Rattus norvegicus: one gene and its partners. The protein of the gene in region 4 purifies or fractionates together with the protein of the main gene of each other region. This does not show direct contact. Links are inferred from orthologs where the notes say so. Each region holds a gene or a part of one and is shown on either strand. Other genes may lie near its edges. The genes, in order: Gskip, Axin2, Epb41l3, Gsk3b and Akap11.

Region 1 (3,682 bases), on a different chromosome or scaffold from region 4:
ATAATGTTCCCCTTTATCCTTTCTGATAAAATGACAAAGATAGGCTTTTTCCTTCTAAAATAAAAGTGAGTTACCCTGAGCCCTGCTTCTGTGAGCTCCAGGCAGTATCTGTTTCTTTCCTTTGTCTCCACATTGATGTAAGCCACATCGTCTGCACAGGGCAGGCTTTTTGAGACAAACATGTTGTTGACAGCAAAGAGAACGTCATTGACAACGGCCTCAGCCTCCAGCTGCATGTCCTTCATATCTGTTCCTTCAAACCCGTTGAGCTCGGAGCCTTCTTCGAATCCAGACATACTGCTTAGATCCACGGGATTACAGTCTGTTTCCATTCTGCAAGAAAGTAGTGACAGACTCAATGGAAAGCCATTCAAACTGGACAAGGGCAGAAGGCAGCAACATGCTTCACCAAAGTATGAGGAGCAGTCACCCTCAGTACTGTTTTCCATGCTCCTACTAGTGTGGCCCCTTGCGCCCCACTTAAAGCATTCCTCTGCTTTTTTTTTTTTATTCTTTTTTTTCAGAGCTGGAGACTGAACCCAGGGCCTTGCGCTTGCTAGGCAAGTGCTCTACCACTGAGCTAAATCCCCAACCCCTCCTCTGCTTTTCTAATCCAAGGCTCCAAACTCCACAGTCCTCCAAAGAGAAGCATGGTCAGGCAATCACAGCAATGCCCCAGCCCCATACCAATTTCTGCCTTAGGGTTCTAATGCTGTGAAGGGACACCGTGACCAAAGCAGCTCTTTTGCTGTTGTTTGTATTTTGAGGCAGGGTTTCTGGACATATCACTGGCTGTCCTGGAACTCACTCTCAGACCATGAAGGCCTTAAACTCAGAGATCAGTTCACTTCTGCCTCCCCAGTGCAGGGATTACAGGCCACGTGTTACCAAGCCTGGCTACCACAGCAACTCTAATGAAGGAAAACATTTAATTGGGGGTTCAGAGGTTTATCCATCGTCATCATGGTGGGGAGCACAGCAGCATCTAGGCAGACATGGTGCTAGAGAAGCAGCCGAGCGTTCTATATCTTGGTCCACAGGCAGCAGGAAGAGACTGAGACACACGAAAGCTGGTTTGAGCGTCTGAGATCTCAAAGGCCACCACCTGCCCCCACTTCCACTGACAATGCCACACCCACTCCAAGGCCACACACCTCCCAATGGTGCCGCTCCCTGCAAGCCTATGGAGTAGTTTTCATTTAAGCTACCACCCTAAGCCTTACAACGATACTCAGTATAAAACATAAACAGGCTGAGAGGCAGCTCAGTGGGCGGTCACTGAGGACCTGAGTTTAACACCAGCACTTGAGTAACCAGCCTGGCATGGCCGCAGGTACATCTGCGAGCCAGTGCTGCCAGTGAGGGCTAGAGTTTGCTGGTGCTCAGCCACGAGACCCAGAGAGACCTAACACAATGGCACATCACACACACACACACACACCCCATTTCAGGGAAAATTTTCAGTAGTTTTCACAGTAAAAATTACAGACATTTGTGAGTTTTTGGAGAAAAAAAAAACCCTTTTCTTCATTTTTCCTAAAGCTCAAATGCCATTTTTAGCTTTGTCACAACAGTGTCTCAGAAAATGAGTGTAGGAGTGTATATCTTTATTTGTTTTCTTCTTCTTCTTCTTTTTTTTTTTTCTTTTCTTTGGAGCTGGGGACCGAACCCAGGACCTTGCGCTTGCTAGGCAAGCGCTCTACCACTGAGCTAAATCCCCAACCCGTTTGTTTTCTTCTTAAGACAGGGCTTCTCTGCATAGCCCGGGCTGACCTGAAACTTGCTCTGTAGACCAGGCTGGCCTCCTCCACTCCTGAGTGCTGAGATTTGGAGCACACCCTACCATACCCAGTGAGCACATGGTTTTAAATGGGTAACTGTTCCCCTAATTCGATATTCAGAACTAGAACTGCAAAGTCAGAGGTCACTCCCTCTGTGTCACCGGATGTGCCTTGCTGAGTGACTCTAGGCTGACTCCTTGGGAGAGGCACCCCCCCCCCCCCCCCCCGCAGCTGGGGACCGAACCCATGTAAGAACATGAGGCATAGGACAAAAGCTCATTGTCTTAAGAAGTATATCCTTGATTTAATACCTTTTTGGAGGCTTACAGAATGTTTTTAGCTGTCAAGTTCACACAGAAGTGGAAAAGGACCCAGTCTGTTTGAAATGGGTTTCTGTACTTCTTTAAACATGTTTCCCTTACTCAACTAATACACTGCTTAAAGTAATGTTTGGTTTTATAGATGTGACCATTTAATATAGTTTATAGACTCAGTTTGGTCCATTAGTCCAGTGGCTAGGAATAAGTACTTTCACTGACTTGGCCTTGGCTTGATTTAAAAAAAAAAAAAAAAAGTCAGTTTAGAAGGTTTAGCTTCCAAGCACCATGCATGTCATGACTTTATATGATAATTAAGTACAGACATTTAACCATTACATGAAAAAGATGTTCCTAAAATTCTCTTAGCAGGAGTCTAGCAGAGAGATGGCAGAAAGATGGCTTTACAGGCTGTTGGAGTATGTCACCAGATGGTTACTTGGTAACAATCAGCCCTGAGTTCCAAAAAGAGGACACCTAGGGGACTTCATGCACCCCTTTGAGAATGATGTGAAAGATTTAAAACTTTTGCAAATGACTTATTTTAGTTATGTGTAGGGGTGTGTGTGTGTGTGTGTGTGTGTGTGTGTGTGTGTTTGTGGATGTGTACAGTGCGCAGAGGCCTAAGGGGGCCAGAAGAAGGCGTTGGTCCCCCTGGGGCTTGAGTTACAGGAGGTCACATCACCGTGAGGGTGCTGGGTGCTGCGAGGGTAGGGAAATGCTCTTGAGCACTGCTCTCCTGCCCGGGACCACCTTTCCCTTGCCTCGTTACACCCTGAGTCCTAAGGGGAACTGGAACGCCTCTTTTTCTACCGAGTGGGCTCAGCAGGTGATATGGTGAAGACTGACTCTGGTTCTTAGTTACAGTGGACTTCTTCATAGTCTTTTTAGTCCAGTCAGGCACACTCTGGCAACCATCTTGAGATTAGGACAGGAGGCAAAGGGCAATGCTGATGGGGGGAAAGAGAGCAGCAAAAACCTGAGAGGCCAGCAGGTTGCTCAGCCAGTTTCCCACCTCGGTCCTTTCTTTCAGTTACTGGAGCCAGTAAAGTCCCCTGTAGGCTTTAGTTTTTTTGTTTTTAAGATTTATTTATTTATTATATGTAAGTACACTGTCACTGTCCTCAGACACACCAGAAGAGGGCATCAGATCTCATTACAGATGGTTGTGAGCCACCATGTGGTTGCTGGGAATTTAACTCAGGACCTCTGGAAGAGCAGTCAGTGCTCTTAACCACTGAGCCATCTCTGCAGCCCCGGCTTTAGTTTTTTAAAGCCTACTTTTAAGGGTTCTCCAAAGCTCTGACACCCCTTGCAGCCCACTGTCCAGAGGGAGGGAGAAAAGATGGTAACTGGGCAAGGGGATGAACATGGCCCTGCTTAGACGGAGTTCTTTGAGGTGATTCCAGTCCCCACTGTCAGGAAACCAGTAGTCCAGTTCAGTGGGGCCAGGATACCAAAAGTCCAGTCCAGAAGTGTCACCAAACACAAATCAGTCACAAGGCACTATCCAGCAAAAACTGACAGGACTCCACCAAATTGACACAAGTCAACAAGAATGACCAAAACCAGTGGAGATGCCAA
Region 2 (4,592 bases), on a different chromosome or scaffold from region 4:
GCCGTGGGTGTGGATGAGTTGGGGTGTGCGTGTGCACGCGAGTGCTTTTGGAAGGTGGGATAAAAGGGTGGCGGCGCCCCCCGCTTGCCCTCCCCGCCCCTCCCCCGCCCCCTCCTACTCCTCTCCCCACTAGTCTCCCCCTCCCATCCGCGGGTCCGTGCCTAGGTGCCTGGAGCTCTGGCAGAGGCTCAGTCTGAGGGTAGAACCGGCCGGAGCCCAGGGCGCTCGCGTCCCCTCGCCGCCCCTTTTGCGGAGAGGCTGAGACTCCGCGCGTCGCCATTTCTAGACTAGGCGGTTGCTTTCCGTGCCTTTTTCTGCGGGAACCTCTGCGAGGCTTGACACCAGGGAGTTACCCCGATCCGGGTTCCGGGGTCTCTGGCCTCGCTCCTGGTGGACGGCGTACCGGGACTCTGGAGGCGTTTGTTTGTAGTTGGGCCGGGGAGGGACGGGACAGAAGGGGCTCAGAGGAGATGAGAGCCTGGCGGCCTTCATCTTCCAGGTAACGGCGTCTCGCCACCTTCTCTGCGCCCGGGTGCTTGGCACTACCCTGCCCCACCACTTCGGGTTTGTGCCCAGCCTGGCGGCCTGAGCTCCGGGACTGGGGAGGGGTGCATCCACCCAGACCCGGGGTCTCGGGCAGCTGGCCCGGAGAGTTTCTCCCTGTCCCCCGGTCCGCCCCTTCTTAGTTTGATCCTTCCCTGGCTAGGGAGAGCAGCTTGTTTATTGGTTAGATAAGACTTCTTTTCTTTTGGAGAAAGACTGGCTTGGGATCAATGTAGTTTGGGATTCTTGGCACAGGCGGTAGTAGCGTGAGAAGCCTTCTGATCCGGTTTTGTTGGGTTCGTGGCTCTAGGAGGTGGATTGGGGAGCCGGGGGCGGCGGGTCTCGAGGTTTCTCTTCTCTCTTTAAAAGTTTGAAGATCAAAGCCTCTTACTTAGTGAACTGTTTTCTGCTTTGGGGAAGCGAAGAAGACACGAAGTGTAGACTGAGCCACGTTTTTGGAGAGTCTTGAGTATAGGCAACATCGTCTGGGATCCGGGGTAATGGGGGGGGTGCATGCGGAATCCGCGAGTTGCTGACCCCCTTCCCGCGGATGCTGGGCGGGCTTTTTTTCAGGCGGGGATCTTCTGTAAGAAGTGGGACGAGGGAGCGCAGAGGGAGGGGTGGGTGGGGGGAATGGGAACCAGATGCCGGGGAAGGGCACTTTGAGAACTCGAGTTATCTGTGCAGAGCAGTGTGGGGAAGTTTACCGAAATTGGTTTCACCTGCACGCAGCCGGGCGGCTGGCTTGCGTGCTCTGGTTGTCGTGGGAGGGGGTCCGGCTAGGTTGCCCCAAGTGTCCCTGGGCCTCGTGAATGTGGGGAAGATTGTGTCTTACACCTCCTGTGTCACTGTTTCAGCCTCACCTTCCCCCCTCCCGCCCCCCAGCACCCCCCCCCCCCGCGGAAAAAGTGTGTGGGGAGCTCAGATTTCGCCTTTGAAAAAGCTGTGTCGGATACTTGAGATGAGCACCTCGCGGATAGCTGGGTTGCTTGATTTGAATTTGAGGAGTTGAAAAGCCTGTTTACTTTCTTGCTTTGATGTTGGGTAGATCTGGTTTTGATTAGATCAATACCCTTTTCTCTCTCCCACCTCCCCCCTCCTTTTCTTTCCAGAGAGGAGGCTCACATGAGCCCCTGCTGACTTAAGAGAGACCAAGCCGATTGCTGAGAGGAACTGGAAGAAGAAAAAGGAGGAGGAAAAAAAAAAGCAAAACAAAACCCAAACTCAGTGAGACGCTCTCCCTCACCATGAGTAGCGCTGTGTTAGTGACTCTCCTTCCAGATCCAAGCAGCAGCTTCCGCGAGGATGCTCCGCGGCCCCCGGTTCCCGGAGAAGAAGGGGAGACCCCACCGTGTCAGCCTAGCGTGGGCAAGGTCCAGTCCACCAAACCTATGCCTGTCTCCTCTAACGCTAGGCGGAATGAAGATGGGCTGGGGGAGCCCGAGGGGCGGGCCTCCCCAGATTCCCCTCTGACCAGGTGGACCAAGTCTTTGCACTCCTTGTTGGGGGACCAAGATGGTGCATACCTCTTCCGGACTTTCCTGGAGAGGGAGAAATGTGTGGATACCCTGGACTTCTGGTTTGCCTGCAATGGGTTCAGGCAGATGAACTTGAAGGATACCAAAACTTTGCGAGTGGCCAAAGCAATCTACAAGAGGTACATTGAGAACAACAGTGTTGTCTCCAAACAGCTGAAACCCGCCACCAAGACCTACATAAGAGATGGCATCAAGAAGCAGCAGATCGGCTCGGTCATGTTTGACCAGGCGCAGACGGAGATTCAGGCGGTGATGGAGGAAAATGCCTATCAGGTGTTCTTGACTTCTGACATATACCTCGAATATGTGAGGAGTGGGGGAGAAAACACAGCTTACATGAGCAATGGGGGACTGGGGAGCCTAAAGGTCTTATGTGGCTACCTCCCCACCCTGAATGAGGAAGAGGAGTGGACATGTGCCGACCTGAAGTGCAAACTTTCACCCACCGTGGTTGGCCTATCCAGCAAAACTCTCCGGGCCACAGCGAGCGTGAGATCCACAGAAACGGCTGAAAACGGATTCAGGTGAGGCTCTGACTGGGCTGGGTTGGGGGTGGGGTATCCCCCCCCCCCAGTGGGGACAGGGCTTGGAGGATGTCTTCTGTCGGGGCGGGTAGGTGGATGGCTAGGCTGGGGAAGCAGATAAAGGTTGATTGAGAGCCAGGACTTCTGGCTGGGGACCCTTTGATCTTATGTTTTGTTGTTGTTGTTGGTGGTGGTGGGGTGTGTGTGTGTGTGTGTGTGTGTGTGTGTGTGTAGGGGGCGTTGCAATGTACTCACAGCTGAGTACCTGCAGCCTTCCACTGCTAACTTCAAACAGTGGCAAGCAGCATTAATGTGGTGACTTATTATCCCAAGCTGTTGGGAGGGAGAGAGAGGGAAAAGAGGGAATGTGAATGCTGCAGCTTTTGATGCCTCTGAGTCACTAGACCCACTAAGTGCCAGTTTGGGAAAGGGTCATTTTCACCGATACTCATCAAAGTAGAATTACTCTGGCTTGGGGGGAGGGGCCGCTGGGCTGTGGCAGAGGAGGGGTGCGCGGGGGTGGGGGGACACAAGGACAGCCGTGCACCTTGGAGGGATGAGTGGTATCCATCTCACTTCATGTTCAGAGCCAGCGGGCAGATTAGCAAGCGAGTTTGTGGTCCCCTTTGTAGAATTAGGTATTTCCCAGGGAGGAAGACTTCTGACTAACTTGGGGGGGAAGGCCCCTCGACTTCCTCCCACGAAGGAGACTTCACTTTGGCGTCTGCTGGCTATTAATCCAGCTTTCAAATGCTGTTGAGCTCCAGGGTCAGACCTCAGTTGCTCAGTGCTGATAGAGAAGTGTGGGTGCGGGGAGAGGACTGCCCCCCCCCCCACTTTCTCTCTTTAAAGCTTCTAAGACAAACTGCCCATTATAGATTTAGCCAAGTCTCAAGGTTCTTGGCCTTTGCAAGCAACTTCAGACCTGTTAGAATGCGTTTCTCCGTTCTCCTTCCTCTCCAGAGATTCCCCCAAAGAGGAGTGCACCTATTATTAATTTTAGTCTGTTGCTTGTGACATGTGGGGCGGGAGGTGGGGGTGACACCAGATTGCTATCTGCATGGCTCTATTCTTCTTGTCCCTGTGCATTTCTCTGTCTCGGGGACCCAGGATATGTGTTCTGCACACAGGTTCTGGAGATCTCACCGGCTTCATGGGGCGTGGTCTCCCATGCCCCGAAGCATCCGGAGGGGGCAAGCCCCCTTTGCTGCTCTGTGGGCATGCATGGTCTTCAGTTTTGGCTGCTGTGGCAAGTAAGGGAAGGACTTGCTCTCTGGTCACCAGAGGGCGCTCTTGCAACTTTGGAAGCAAACTTAACCAATTTTCAGACATCTGGTCTACACCTAAACGGAACTGGCTTGGGTTTTTGAAGGCAAGCATAGGGTCGCAGGAGGGCGTGGTTAGTGGCACTGAGCTTGCAGAACCAGGCTGTTGGGGCTGGGTACAAACAGGTACCTGCCTCTGTTGTCCTGCTCCGTGGCAAGGACATAAAGTTTGCTATTGGTCTCCTCACCCTCCAGCCTGGCAGCCAGTGACGAAGAGTCCTTAAGGCCCTTGGTAAGGCTGCTTCTCCACAGTGGGTCTTCTGTGGCTTCAGTGTCAGGCTCAGAGTGTCACCTTTGTAAATAGCACAGGGCAGTTTCCGAGGCCAGCAGTAAGAAGGCACTCTCCAAGCCACACTGTGCTTGGACTCCTCCTTGTGGGTGGGCAGCCTAGGCGAAACGTTGAGTTGCCTCTTCCCAGAGGCTTCATTAGGATGTTTGCAGAGTACTGGGTCCCCAAGGAGCAGTGTCCTTTGGGCTGGGAACTGTGAATGTCACTGATGAGTGGATGACAGCTCTTGAGTGACCCCGTTAGTTAGCTTACACAGATCAGGTGTGTGTTCTCCCACTGTTAGGTTGGAAGGAAACGTTTACCTGGACACGCCCAGATGGCCCTTACTTCTTTTTAACACGTGCGAGCTCTCCTTCTAGTCTGGTACTGTGTC
Region 3 (3,942 bases), on a different chromosome or scaffold from region 4:
GCAGACCGTCACAGTGGGAATGGGAAGGAGGGCTCTTCTGTGACAGAAGCAGCTAAGGAACAGAGAGGAGAGGAGGCTGACAAGTCTGCCCCGGAGCAGGAACAACCAGCCACTGTCTCCCAGGAGGAGGATCAGGTGTCGGCCATCCACTCTTCTGAGGGTTTGGAACAAAAGTCTCATTTTGAGGTAAGTGGTCGTTACTCTCTTCCTGTGATGCCGAGATTCAGATCGGAGTTAACGTGCAGCTAGATTTAACGTTACGCCCCGTCGTGCACGGCCTTTAGTCTTTCTTTCTGTTCTTTTCCTTTGCATCACATGTCAGGGTTTCCACGATTTTGGTTCACAGAAACTAGTAGTGTTGATGTGTAATTCTAGGATGCGATTTCTGTCTTTGAAATTATGACTGTGAAAACACGGGAGACCCATGATTACACATTGAAGATTTGGAGGGCCACGAAGATGGCTCAGTGGCTAGCAGTGCTTGGCACACAAGCCTGAGGACCTCAGTTCAATCCCTGGTCCCTGGGACTTACGGTGGAAGGGGAGAACCATGTTCTGAGAGTTGTCCTCTAAAATACACACACACACACACACACACACACACACACACACACACATACACACATATACATGCATATACACATGCACACATACATACACATATACACATATACATACATATACATACACATATGTACATACACATGTGTACATATGCACACGTATATACAAAAATACATACATGCACAACATACATACATGCACACATATATACATATACACATATGTACACATACACATATATACATACACAAATACCAACACATATACACACAAATACACATACCTATACACACATATGCATACACACATACACATACATATACACATGCACATATACACATATACCCACACATATACACATATATATACACATACACATACATACCCACATACCCACACATATACACACATATACATACACATGTACACATACACACACTAATAATAATAGATTTTAAAAAGAAAACTTGGCATTTATTTCTGATCTATTATTGACTTTACTAGGAATACCAGAAATCTCTCCTCCCACTTACAGAACCTCATCCTTTATCCTTTTACTGAGATTCTCCAAACATCGGTGGGTGGCAACCGATGATGTAATACTTGCCTCATCATCCTTGGTTGCTAATTTAAGAACTCATCTATAAGTTTAACAGCATCAGTGTTCGCATATGCGATTGGGCAGAAGGAAGAGCTTATTCTTTAATTTCCTTTCAAATGTTTCCATTGCCTTGAACAATCTACATTAGCAACACTGTAACTCGGAGAGACTAACGTAGATTTGTTCTGTGCCACGAACCCCACGTCACCCCCTCACTTAGTCCTGAGCACAGTGAACCAAGAGCAAGCAGCTCAGATTGTGCGCCCGCCTCCATAACCTCTCCCCTTGCTTCCCACGATACAGTCGTCCACTGTGAAGGTAGAAAGCATAAGTGTGGGCAGTGTCTCTCCAGGAGGAGTGAAGCTAGAGACCTCTACCAAGGAGGTGCCAGTGGTCCACACAGAGACGAAAACCATCACGTACGAGTCTTCTCAGGTAAGACGGTCTGTGAGAACCTGGCGACTGCATGGCTTTGGGCATTCAAGTTTAACTACATGGCATCAGTCTAAGAGGCTGGAGGATCCTGCAGCCAAGCCTCGTCTTGAAGAACAGTGCAGTGCAACCGTTAGTTTGATCGCTGATTATGGAGGTGTCGGTGCTCAGCCTGGGCCTCAGATAACCTGAGTGTACAGCTATGGATAAGGAAGAGGGCTCACTCAGCCACACTCAGCTCACATTTATTAAGTCTCAGTTTGTTGACCCTCATTGCCTAGAGCTTACTCTTGGCAGCTCTCACCTTTCATCTGAACTGTGCAAGGATGGTGAGAAGCAACTGTTCCTTCCGAAGAAGCGTGTTCCTTCCGTGGGTGCTGCGGTCCCTCACCTAGAGTTACAACATCTGCTTGTAACTTGCGAATGTCCTCGGCACCATTTAAATAATCTCTAGGTGGCTTGGACAGCCTTGCACAACATGAATGCTGAGCGGGCAGTTGTCACGCTCCGCTACTTGGCCAGGGTCTGCACACGTTCGGTCTGCTTGCAGATAGATTTGAGTGTTTTTCTGTCTGTGGTTGATTGAGTCCTAGGTGGGAGGGCTGTGTTCACTCACTGTAGTGCATTAAAGAACAGACCAGTCCTGAGGAGAGGAAATATAACGGTGCCCGTGTGCTCTGTGTGTTCCTGTCTCGCTTAGGTCGATCCTGGGGCAGATCTGGAGCCAGGTGTGCTAATGAGCGCCCAAACGATCACGTCTGAAACCACGAGTACTACCACCACCACACATATCACCAAAGTAAGTGGGGAGACACCCGACAGCGTTCCTGACCACTGGGGAAAGCCATCGCTCCTCAGAGCCTTGGACAGATTAGGCTGCACAGATAGCTCTATTAAAGTGAGCTCTAATCTTCATAGAACCAGGGGAAGGAGGGGATATGGGAGAGGGGGGAAAGGGGATAACATTTGAAAAGTAAATACATAAAACACCCAGTAAAAAAAACGCTTAATACAAAAAAGTAAGCTTAAAAACACATGTATTTACCGTGCATCTCCCACGGTATGCTAATTTCTGTTGAGGGTCCTCAGTGTTCTCTCCAGTGGTGGGCGTAGAGTGGATCTCACAGAAACTGGCCCTACCAAACCCGAAGAACTCAACCCTACCCTCACTTTTGAAAGTAAACACGTTAAACGTCTGTGGTCGACTCCTATTTTAGTTCTATAAGATCGAATGGCAGCTAGGCCTCCCCGTCACCCCAGCGGATAGCTCACAGAGCTCTTCTGCTTCCTTTAGACTGTGAAAGGAGGCATTTCGGAGACGAGGATTGAGAAGCGAATAGTCATCACGGGAGATGCCGACATTGACCATGACCAGGTAGTATGGGCGAGACGGTAAACGCTCTGTCAGAGGGGTAAACGTGACCATGTTGGCCCTTTGGGTTCCCAGTGCTAATCTTCCCAGCCCAGTGCGTATTCGACAATAAGTTTCCGAGTTAACCTTCCAGTAGATGCCTTTGACCCCTCCCTCGACCGTTGTGCCTCGGTGTTAGCTGTGGGGATAGATTTAGCGTGTGTAAGTCTACATCTTGCTACCGCTCATGCATGTCCCACCTCCTTTTTGTTTTTGCCCTCCTGTGATTTCCCGGGGATAGGCGCTGGCTCAGGCAATTAAAGAGGCCAAAGAGCAGCACCCCGACATGTCAGTAACCAAAGTAGTGGTCCATAAAGAGACAGAAATCACACCAGAAGATGGAGAGGATTGACCGCAGGTAAGAGGTGGCACGGATTCTCCAGGCTGGCCTCGGTGGCATGCGGCATGGGGCACTCCCTCCCACCCTTCGCCTGACCTGCCCTCTCCCTCATTCTCTCACTGGCGCCTGTCGGGCCTGGCAAGCAAGAAGGAGGAGAACTGTTTCGTGGGTCCCGGGTTGTAGAGGTTCAGTCTTCAGGGTTGTGTCGGCACCCACTCAAGTGAGGGGGAAAGGGGGCACCCATGCCAGTGAGAGGAAAAGGGAAAGGAGGCTCCTTGCTTGCACAGGCCTTACTGCCGCCACTCTCGCCGTCTGGGCTTCCCCTTGTCCTCGTTACCCAAATTTGAATTGTCAAATTTGACTTCCCCTGCCCTTCTGCCTGGTAAGAACCACGGCGGGTTCTAACGACTAGCTGAATCCATGTTTCAGCTTGGAGCTGTAGAGGGATTAGCCGTGCCCCTTCCTGCTTTTGATACAGCATCGCCCCTTGGAAGCGCCCTCACGCTTCCAAGATAAATGTCTGTGCCTCCGACTGTTTGGTTTGGTTCGGAACTGAGCACTAACTTTTTTTTTTTTTTTTGAATGTCTTATATC
Region 4 (3,942 bases):
CAGTCGGCAAAGGCACTTGCTTTCAAGGCTGGTAACTTGAGTTTGATCCCAGGGACTTAAGTTGTCCCGCCTGCCACAGGAGTGCTGGAATGCTAACATTCAGGCTCAAAAAGGCCGTGGCGGCACTTGCTGATAATTCCAGTCACTCAGTAGATGTGGGAGGTCATTAGTTTGAGGCTGGCCTAAGCCAGGTAGTGAGACCCTGTGCGAAAGGAAAGCCTCTGTCAAGTCAGTACTGTATGCATGGTAGCTTTTGTTTTAAAAACCCTTTTGTGACTAGTGTGCAAACACACATAACAAACATGGCTTATTCTGAGTTGATATGTAATACCTCATACACGATTGTCTGGGACGGGATGTTTGAGGATTATCGTGTACTTGGGAAACTTACATTCCCAATGACTGCTCTTTAGTATAAACTCCTTGAGCTTATGGAATACATATATCTGCTCCATCTTTATTACTAATAAATCTCTTAAGTTATACATTTGCATATATTCCTTTAACTTCACACTCAACCTCAATACAGGAGTGCAGTAAAATACAGAGAGGCAATATTTTTCTCTATTAATATTTACTATTAATATTTCCTCTATTATTTCCCCATTTTTGCAGATTCTAACAAGTATGATTTTTTTTTAAACCGCCGATTTCTTGGTTATATACTGTTGCTAGTGTAAACTCCTCATGCTTTCTCTTTGTGTAGCATTTAGCTATAAAGCCTCCCAACATGCAGCCAAGCCTATACCCCACAGGACAGATCACCATATCCCTTCTTCATTCTCTATCTGTCGCCTCCGGGGGTAGCCCTACTCTCTGTGCTGAGACTTCTGTCCTTATAACTTGGGTGCTTTTTCATCCTTGTTAGAAGTTCTTCTTTTTCAGTTTAGCACCACAGATGATACATTGACTCCTGCTGTCTATAGTCCCTCCTCTTTATATAGACGTCTATACCAAACCGTAGATTAGATTGTGGGTTTAACATCAGTGCAGGTGAAGGGAGGTATTTGGAAAAACCGAGCCAACCTGCTGTCAGTAGGTTCATGCTTAGTCTTGTTCTGCAGTTTCTTTCAAGCCATTCCACTTAACAAACCCTATCCCAGGGTCTCAGCACTGCAGGCTGCGGCTCAGGTGAAAATACACACTAAGGCGTTTTTTTATTTGATGGTTGAATGGTGGGCTGCTGCTTGTTTCACCTATGAAAAGGCACCCAAATCACATGGGGTTTGTTACTGGGGAGAGTAACTGCCGAGTCCTGCAAGAGCCACCTAGTGCAAGTTCCTCTGCTCACCACCATGTCAGAGCATTGTTCGCGCCCGCGCCCAGCGGATTCTACGGGTGTAAAGTAGCTGTGCCTGGATACATTTGAAAGAGGGCTTTCACAGGTGTGAAATAGCTCATTCTTTAGCAACTCTGAGGTAGGATTTTGGAGACACTTAAGGTGAAAACTTAACAAAACTGCCTTCTTAATAATTTTTAATTAGGTGTAACAGGTCTGGCAGTAGCTGAAATGGGGTGTGAAAAAAACCCATTTTATAGAGTCTAACTGGGGTGTCTAAGGGCCATTAGGTAAAGGGAAAAGTTAGTTTCGTTGGTGATGAGGGAAAAGGATACAGGCTGTCAAAGCTCTCAGTTGGATGACTGAGTTGTTGTGCGTTTCTCTTCTAAGCATCTGCTTTACCCATTAAAAATGTGCCTCGTGGGGCTGGGGATTTGGCTCAGTGGTAGAGCGCTTACCTAGGAAGCGCAAGGCCCTGGGTTCGGTCCCCAGCTCCGAAAAAAAGAACCAAAAAAAAAAAAAATGTGCCTCGTGTGTTTGGTTTCTGAGACAGGGTCTCTGTGGCCCTGGCTGTCGCAGCAGCAGCTGCCTCTGCCTCTGTAGAGCGCTGAGACTGAAGGTGTGGGCCACTGTGTCCTGCTTGCTGGTCATTCGTTCGGGAGCTGGATTTAAACTCCGCATCCTAGAGCTGCTTTTTCAAGGGGCCATTCCAAGTCCCCAAGGCGCACTTCTGAAGATAGAAACGTCTGTTATCGAGGGCACTAACACTGAATATCTTGACTTTTTTGACAGTCTGAAAACCTTAGTGTTGTTAACATAGCGAACACTGTTTTATCTGGGCCTAAGAAAAAGATTAAAATTTGAAACAGATAATGAAGGAAAGAACAAATCAAGTTTAGAGCCATCATTGAGTAGAAGTAAACTGAAAGGGAGGAAACCTAGACCCCCAAGACTGAATGACCATTTTCACATGTCTGTGTCCTGCACTGTTACCTCAGATTTTCCACCTGTTTTTGGCATTTATTTATTTTTTTCTATTTGTTCATTCATTTGATTTTATCGCATGTATTTCTTTTCTGTATCTCATGCTACTGTCAGAACAGCTCCTAGAGCAGCCTGCTTATATGAGATGGAGTTACCCAGAGAGACATTTCAAGAGACACTGTGACTCACTTTAACATTTAAAATATGTACTGTAAACTACTTTAGGAGGAAAGTTGTAATAATATGTTCAACGTAGCACTGCAGCGATGGAGCAGATCGGGCCTGAGTCACTTAAATCAAATGCCTTTTACAGTTTGTTTAGCAGTAGGTGTTTAAATCGACTGCGGTGTGGAAGCATGGATTGGCTGTGTAAGGCCGAGCTGGTCATCCCGGGTCTGAAGACCAAGTTTAACAGAGTAGCCAGGTCCCCCCCACACTCCCCCTTTTAAAAGCATATAGGTGGGGAATACTGATACATTCACTTCTATGATTTGCTAACAGTCTTTTGTTGCAGAAGGTTGCTCTTTAATTTCCTGCCCTTCATCTTTATATTTTATTTAGTTACTTATTATTTTGAGGCAGTGTCTCACTGTATACCATTGGCTGACCTGGAACTCTCACTACAGAGTGGCCTCCATCTCGCAGAGGTCCGCCTGTCTCTGCCTCCCGAGTGCTGGGAGGGAAGGTCGCACCACCTTGCCCGTCAGCCATTTTATATTTCACAAGTTGAATGTAGGAAATGGGGAAACCAGAAGAAATTGAACATGTGTGTCCTTTTGTAATTTTTTAAATCTCTTTGTTCCTTAGCTAAGGCTTGACAAATGCTCACTTTAAAAATTCCTCTTTAAAGTATCAATTTGCTGAACTTGTGTATTTCTCTTGTTGGAAACATTTCAAGTGTGTTGCTTACAAGGTTTAGACGATTAAAGATTGTTTTTTATTTTTATTTTTCATCAGTGCAAAGCAGCTGGTCCGAGGAGAGCCCAATGTTTCATATATCTGTTCTCGGTACTACAGGGCACCAGAGCTGATCTTTGGAGCCACCGATTACACGTCTAGTATAGGTAAGTGCTGGCTCTGGGTGCGGTGGGTGTGACTGTTAACTGTCCTGACCCTTCTCCAACAAGGCAGGGCACGACAGAGCAGGGCTGCAGCAGTACACTTTTGCAGAAATGAGTAGAATTAATTTTTTTTACATTTTAGAATTTATGCTTTTCTACTATTAGAATTATAAAAATATTATTTTGTATTGTAGTTGCTTAATGCATTTGTTTGGCTCTTAAGTTTCAAACAAATGTTGATAAGCTTTTAAAAACATTACTGAGGCAGAGATGGATGGCAAAAAGACGTGTGTGGAGCTCAGTCCCAGCCGCGCTGGAGAAACTCAGCTGCTGAGTTAACTAATGGGGTCTGCACTGGTTTTCTAGTTCTGAAATGTTTACTTCTGAGCCTAAACTACTTAGAAATGTGTTAATAAATAATGTTACTTTTAAAATGTTAATATTGTAATCGGTAGGGCAATGATATTCCTGAATCCCTACAATGATGCATCGCTTAATTTTTGAGCAACTTAATTCATTAGCTTTTCAGCTAAGCCCACTGGTTGTTCAGATCTCGCTGGAGATGTCTATTGATAGAAGGGTTAGAGATGGTTGAGGTCTGCATTGACCCTATCTTCT
Region 5 (4,646 bases), on a different chromosome or scaffold from region 4:
CTTACTCAATGTCAAACCTGGAAATGGTACTCTAAGAATCATTTATACATTCAGAATTTAAAGCTGACCCAAGACAGTAGAAGAGAATATAAGATTATCCAAAAATCTAAAGGAATAATTACTATCAATGGTTCAAGGCAGGTAAAAAGAAGAAGAAAAAAAAAAAAGCAGTGGGGAACCACAATTATGTGTCAATCTAAAGCACAGGTGGTAGGAGTTTTTAAACAAGTTCTAAGTATGTGTAGTCAGCACTAGACTGAAAAGAAAAATGACAATTTCTTCTCTGAACACTGCAGAAGCCCAGTACAGAGTCAGCAACAAACAGGACACATCATACTTCTGCACCATAACTGCAATTTGCCAGCTAGAAAGAAACTGTGTCACACATGTGAATCTACAATTCTCATGGCATCATTATGCCCATTATATAAATTATTTTAAGCAGTCTGTCACCTAACAAACCCAAGAGAACCTGTCCTGGAAAGGGATCACTGAATCTGGTTACAACTCTAGGTAGCTGAGACCAAGTGCAATGCAGGACTTGGGGGAAGAACTCAAACCCTAAGACACTACAGTACACCAGAGGTATCCATCATTTCCTCCCAACTACAGATGTCCCACATCTTAAAGACCTTGCTGAAGCAGTCTGAGAAGCCACATGTGTAGTTCCCCACCATCCACCTCCCGTTGTCAACTTCCTACTCTACATCTTCCTACTCTATGCTAAACCAACTTGACAAGACCTGGAAAGCTGACCACTGCTTTCTCTCCATGTACAGACATTTTGAATTGAGAGTTAAAGAGGTCAGTAGGAACTATGATGCCAAGTCAAGGTGGGTCTGATGTGAACACTCTGGCAAACCAAAGAACAAAAACCAAGAGGTTTCAGGAGAAGGTGATTATTTAACAACTGAGGAGGGCATGCAGCTAGTAGAAGGGAACTAAAAGAAAACTCTATGTGCTCCAACCTCAAGATGGTCCAGTTTCCCAGCCACTGAGCTAAAATTGCAAACTGGACCTTGGCATCAGTGTTACAAAATTATGACAAATGCCTTTTTCAAGTAAGCTAATTCTAATGGCCTTTTGATTCTGGCAGCCAAATAATCCTCAAACCATTAAGGAAGGTCAAAGGAAAAACACCTAGTCAGAGGCTAACACAAAATCACTAAGCTTCCTCCTCCTGTCAAGTCCAGTCAATAATCCATACATTCTGAGTGCTTATCTTCAGGAGGTCATTTTCAATTAATTTCTTTCTCAAAGGAAGAACAGAAAAGAAAAAAGAGAAGAAAAGAAATGGATCTGCCCCGTTTGCTTTTAAAACAGTAAGGCACATTTTTTCCTGGGCCAGAATGCCAGTGTGTCTGCCTTCTACTGCCACTCAAGCAAATGCAGATCTTCTAACCTCCCAACACTCGTTCTTTTACTGGTTAATTCTTTTTACTACCAGGGCCACTTCACAAAAAGAAAAGGAGAAAAAGAAAAAAATTACGTAAGTAATTACTCCATCCAAAGTTAATTTAATTGCTTTCCAAACACAAGACAGAGCAACCACTGCCCTAAAAGTCTGAAACCCTTGCCACAAGTTAGAGGAATGGAAGGGAACTTTTGTAATCTCCTTTGCCCATTCACCTAAGTTTTTCATATCTTCGTGTGTGGTTAGAATTCCCCTATTTATAACTGGAATTTTCCCTTTAGACAACCTGCTGCATTATGCTTTGAATTGGCTGAGTTCCTTTCCCAGACACTAAATCTTTGGAATTAAAATAAAATGTACCATCCTTTCTCCCAGAGGATTTTCTTCTGTTTCCTAGTCGCAGCCCTGGAATTCAGAGGTTAGAGAGAAGGCTAGCAAAACTCTCACTATAATTATGGGGTTCTAACTTCAGTATCTTCAACGACTGGGAAAAATCACTGGCCACAGAGTATTTACTGCCAATTCCTTTCCAGGCAGATCAGTTGAGCAGTTTCGTAGCTATCTATCTACATTAGCCACAGCACAGCTTATAAACCCACTTCTTCCCCCAGTTCCCTCATATCCCTTTATCCCTCCTAAGTCAGCTACTAACAACACAACTAATTGTTTAATTTACTGCCAACCCATGATTCACAGTTCTGCCTGGAAAACACAATTAAGTATGAATAACCAGGATATTCCTTGAAAAATGCTCCTACAGTTTGAAAGATTAGGTGACACTATTTAAAATGACATCAATCATACCAGGCACTGAGCTGCCTTCTACCAACACACACACACACACACACACACACACACACACCCAAACGCGAAGATATTAAAACAAAATCATCTTTGCATAAATAAATACTCCACCTTTCCTGACACTCTTATTTTTAGATATTTTCATACATAACAAAATTGAGTATCAACATAAATAACACTGCTAACAAGGTGAGAAGATGCAACGGAAAACAGGCGTTTTAGAAGCAAATGAATAATTACAAAGCTAAGAAGAACTGCGAATATTAACTCCAGTATGCGCCAAGGCCATTAGCGATGTGTCTCAGCAGTATTGCTCACCGTGAAATGCCTTAATGCCTAAAGCTAAGCCACCTCCAACTAATAGGGTTTTTTTTTTTTTTCTTTTTAAAGAGCAGAGGTAAAGGGCTGTCACCAAGCCATACGAGGGGTTTAGATTGTACTGTCACTGTGGTTTGGCCAGCCCATTTTCTATTTGGTAGCGCAGTTCGGATGCTTGGCCAGCCTGGGGGCGACGTGACAGCGATGCAAACAGCGGTATCTGAGGTTAGGGCAACGTCGCGGACCTGGGCTCGGACGCTGACAGGGAAGGATGCTGCTGCGGAGGACAAAGTGCACTGTCCTCCCGCCTGCGCCCCACGCAGCGAGGCCACGGCGCCCCGCCGCAGTCTGGACCAGGCCTGCTGGCTCCCCGCTCCCCGCCCCGCTCACCCGGCGGCGCAGCCTCTCAGTTCCCGGGCATGTCACCCTCCCGTCACGGCCCGCAACGCCCGGTGGCGCGAGCCGCGGCGCAGCGGCGATCCCTCGCCCGCCCCAGCCCGCGACGCCACCGCCGCCGCCTCCCCACGCCGCCCACTCACTCTCGCGAGAGCAGTCGCACCTCTCGCGAGAACAACCCCGTGGCCGAGCCCGCGCAAAAGGAACAAGGAGGGGGGAAAAAATCTTCCCACGTGCTCTGGAGGGCAAAGCTGCGGGTCGCCCGTCACGTGACGTGGAGGCACCCTCTCCATTGGCCGGGTGGCCCTCGGCCCGTGGGAGCTTTAAACCCGAAGCTGACCTACGAACTCTCCGCTGACGTCTTGCGCGCTTCCTGGTGCGTTGCCTTGGGAACCGCTTAACCCTTTCCTCTAGCAAGCAATGGAGCCTAGGGAGCTGACGTCCGCCTCCTTAGACTATCTGCCTTGGTCCGCCCCACCTTCCTGGGGCTGGTTTCCCACAGCGGCAGCCCACTAGATCAAGGGTCCACGCACGGCCCATCCCTCAGAATGACTCTGCCCGGTTCCCAACATCACCAGGGAAAACCAGGGGGTTGGGGGATGGGGAAAGCACCAGGCCTCGGGCCCAATCTGAACCTCTGGAGTCAGTCCAAGGGGAATGCACCTCCCTACCCCATGGACCATTGAAATTGGGAAATAAGGCTTTGACCACCAAGAACCCTAGCCTTGGATGACAAGCTATGTGACTCCTGTTTAAATCGGAAGGATCAGTACAGTCACGTTGCATGGTCTCCTCAAGGACATCCGGTCCTCAAGTTGGCAGAGAGATGAGAAAGACGTTTTGAAGTATATATTCCTTACTTCTTTTGTCCTCTTCAGGGAAGAGGAACAAGAAAGAGTACATTCATATATTCGTTTTCTTCAGCCGAAAGCTGTCATCCTTACTACAGCTTTTTAGTTATCATCCCAGTTTGTCTATTGAACCATGATGAAGGCAAATAGACTAGGATGTAGAGATTGGGGGCTGGGAAGAGAGATCTGTAGGTGTTAACTCGCAAATCATCACAATCTGATGGTGGTTACAATTGGGCCACTACTTGGGGGCGGTGCCCTTGTGGGAGGAAAGATAAAAGCAGTGATTTGGATAATAGCCCTACAAAAATGGGAGGGCAGAGCATCGCTAGCAAAAAGTAGGATAACTCACATGCCCGAAATTGGGATGTAATGTAGCAAGCACATTTGAACGACAACAAGAAATAAACCTGGGATGATAATGGAGGCTAGATCTCTTACAGCTGTATCAGCCAAGAAAAGAACTGGGAATGTACAGTGAGCAGCTTTAAAGATTTATTTTTTTTATAGGAGGGAATAATAACAATTAGCTTTTTAAAAAATACTTTTTAAAAAATATGGAACATAAAATAATGTTCTTTGTAGATTTTAGTAGAGTGAGATTAGAAAAGAGGTTGGAGGCTGGAAAAAGAAGTTTAATTCAAAACAAAAGAAATCAGGAAGTCTTCCAGTATGAAACACTCCACTAACTAGTGACATAAGCAAGTCATAAGCTCTTTATGATCCTGAGTCTCAAGTTCCTCGTACATAAAACAAGGCACTCTGGTCTCCACACAGGCTGGCTGAGACTGAATTCCATTTTGTCGCGCTTGCCCTGGCAGGGGAAGCAGGTGAGGGAAATGAACTTTTCTGAAAGACGAGAT

Evidence for each region.
Region 1: the proteins of Gsk3b (region 4) and Gskip purify together in Homo sapiens (affinity purification with mass spectrometry; 10 studies listed by BioGRID and IntAct, with this or other methods). This does not show direct contact. The link is inferred for Rattus norvegicus from reciprocal best matches to the Homo sapiens genes GSK3B and GSKIP.
Region 2: the proteins of Gsk3b (region 4) and Axin2 purify together in Homo sapiens (affinity purification with mass spectrometry; 9 studies listed by BioGRID and IntAct, with this or other methods). This does not show direct contact. The link is inferred for Rattus norvegicus from reciprocal best matches to the Homo sapiens genes GSK3B and AXIN2.
Region 3: the proteins of Gsk3b (region 4) and Epb41l3 purify together in Homo sapiens (affinity purification with mass spectrometry; 4 studies listed by BioGRID and IntAct, with this or other methods). This does not show direct contact. The link is inferred for Rattus norvegicus from reciprocal best matches to the Homo sapiens genes GSK3B and EPB41L3.
Region 5: the proteins of Gsk3b (region 4) and Akap11 purify together in Homo sapiens (affinity purification with mass spectrometry; 4 studies listed by BioGRID and IntAct, with this or other methods). This does not show direct contact. The link is inferred for Rattus norvegicus from reciprocal best matches to the Homo sapiens genes GSK3B and AKAP11.

What each region holds. Positions count from the first base shown.
Region 1 is NC_086024.1:130,366,839-130,370,520, reverse strand, and holds part of Gskip (GSK3B-interacting protein), read right to left. Parts: intron 334-3,682; coding exon 75-333; intron 1-74. UniProt on the Homo sapiens protein: A-kinase anchoring protein for GSK3B and PKA that regulates or facilitates their kinase activity towards their targets.
Region 2 is NC_086028.1:94,397,078-94,401,669, forward strand, and holds the start of Axin2 (axin-2), read left to right. Parts: upstream 1-1,707; 5' UTR 1,708-1,790; coding exon 1,791-2,605; intron 2,606-4,592. UniProt on the Homo sapiens protein: Inhibitor of the Wnt signaling pathway. Down-regulates beta-catenin. Probably facilitate the phosphorylation of beta-catenin and APC by GSK3B.
Region 3 is NC_086027.1:116,701,628-116,705,569, forward strand, and holds part of Epb41l3 (band 4.1-like protein 3), read left to right. Parts: coding exon 1-186; intron 187-1,468; coding exon 1,469-1,600; intron 1,601-2,297; coding exon 2,298-2,396; intron 2,397-2,891; coding exon 2,892-2,972; intron 2,973-3,249; coding exon 3,250-3,360; 3' UTR 3,361-3,366; intron 3,367-3,942. UniProt on the Homo sapiens protein: Tumor suppressor that inhibits cell proliferation and promotes apoptosis. Modulates the activity of protein arginine N-methyltransferases, including PRMT3 and PRMT5.
Region 4 is NC_086029.1:76,055,674-76,059,615, reverse strand, and holds part of Gsk3b (glycogen synthase kinase-3 beta), read left to right. Parts: intron 1-3,220; coding exon 3,221-3,327; intron 3,328-3,942. UniProt on the Homo sapiens protein: Constitutively active protein kinase that acts as a negative regulator in the hormonal control of glucose homeostasis, Wnt signaling and regulation of transcription factors and microtubules, by phosphorylating and inactivating glycogen synthase (GYS1 or GYS2), EIF2B, CTNNB1/beta-catenin, APC, AXIN1, DPYSL2/CRMP2, JUN, NFATC1/NFATC, MAPT/TAU and MACF1.
Region 5 is NC_086033.1:60,362,263-60,366,908, forward strand, and holds the start of Akap11 (A-kinase anchor protein 11), read right to left. Parts: upstream 3,074-4,646; 5' UTR 2,927-3,073; intron 1-2,926. UniProt on the Homo sapiens protein: Binds to type II regulatory subunits of protein kinase A and anchors/targets them.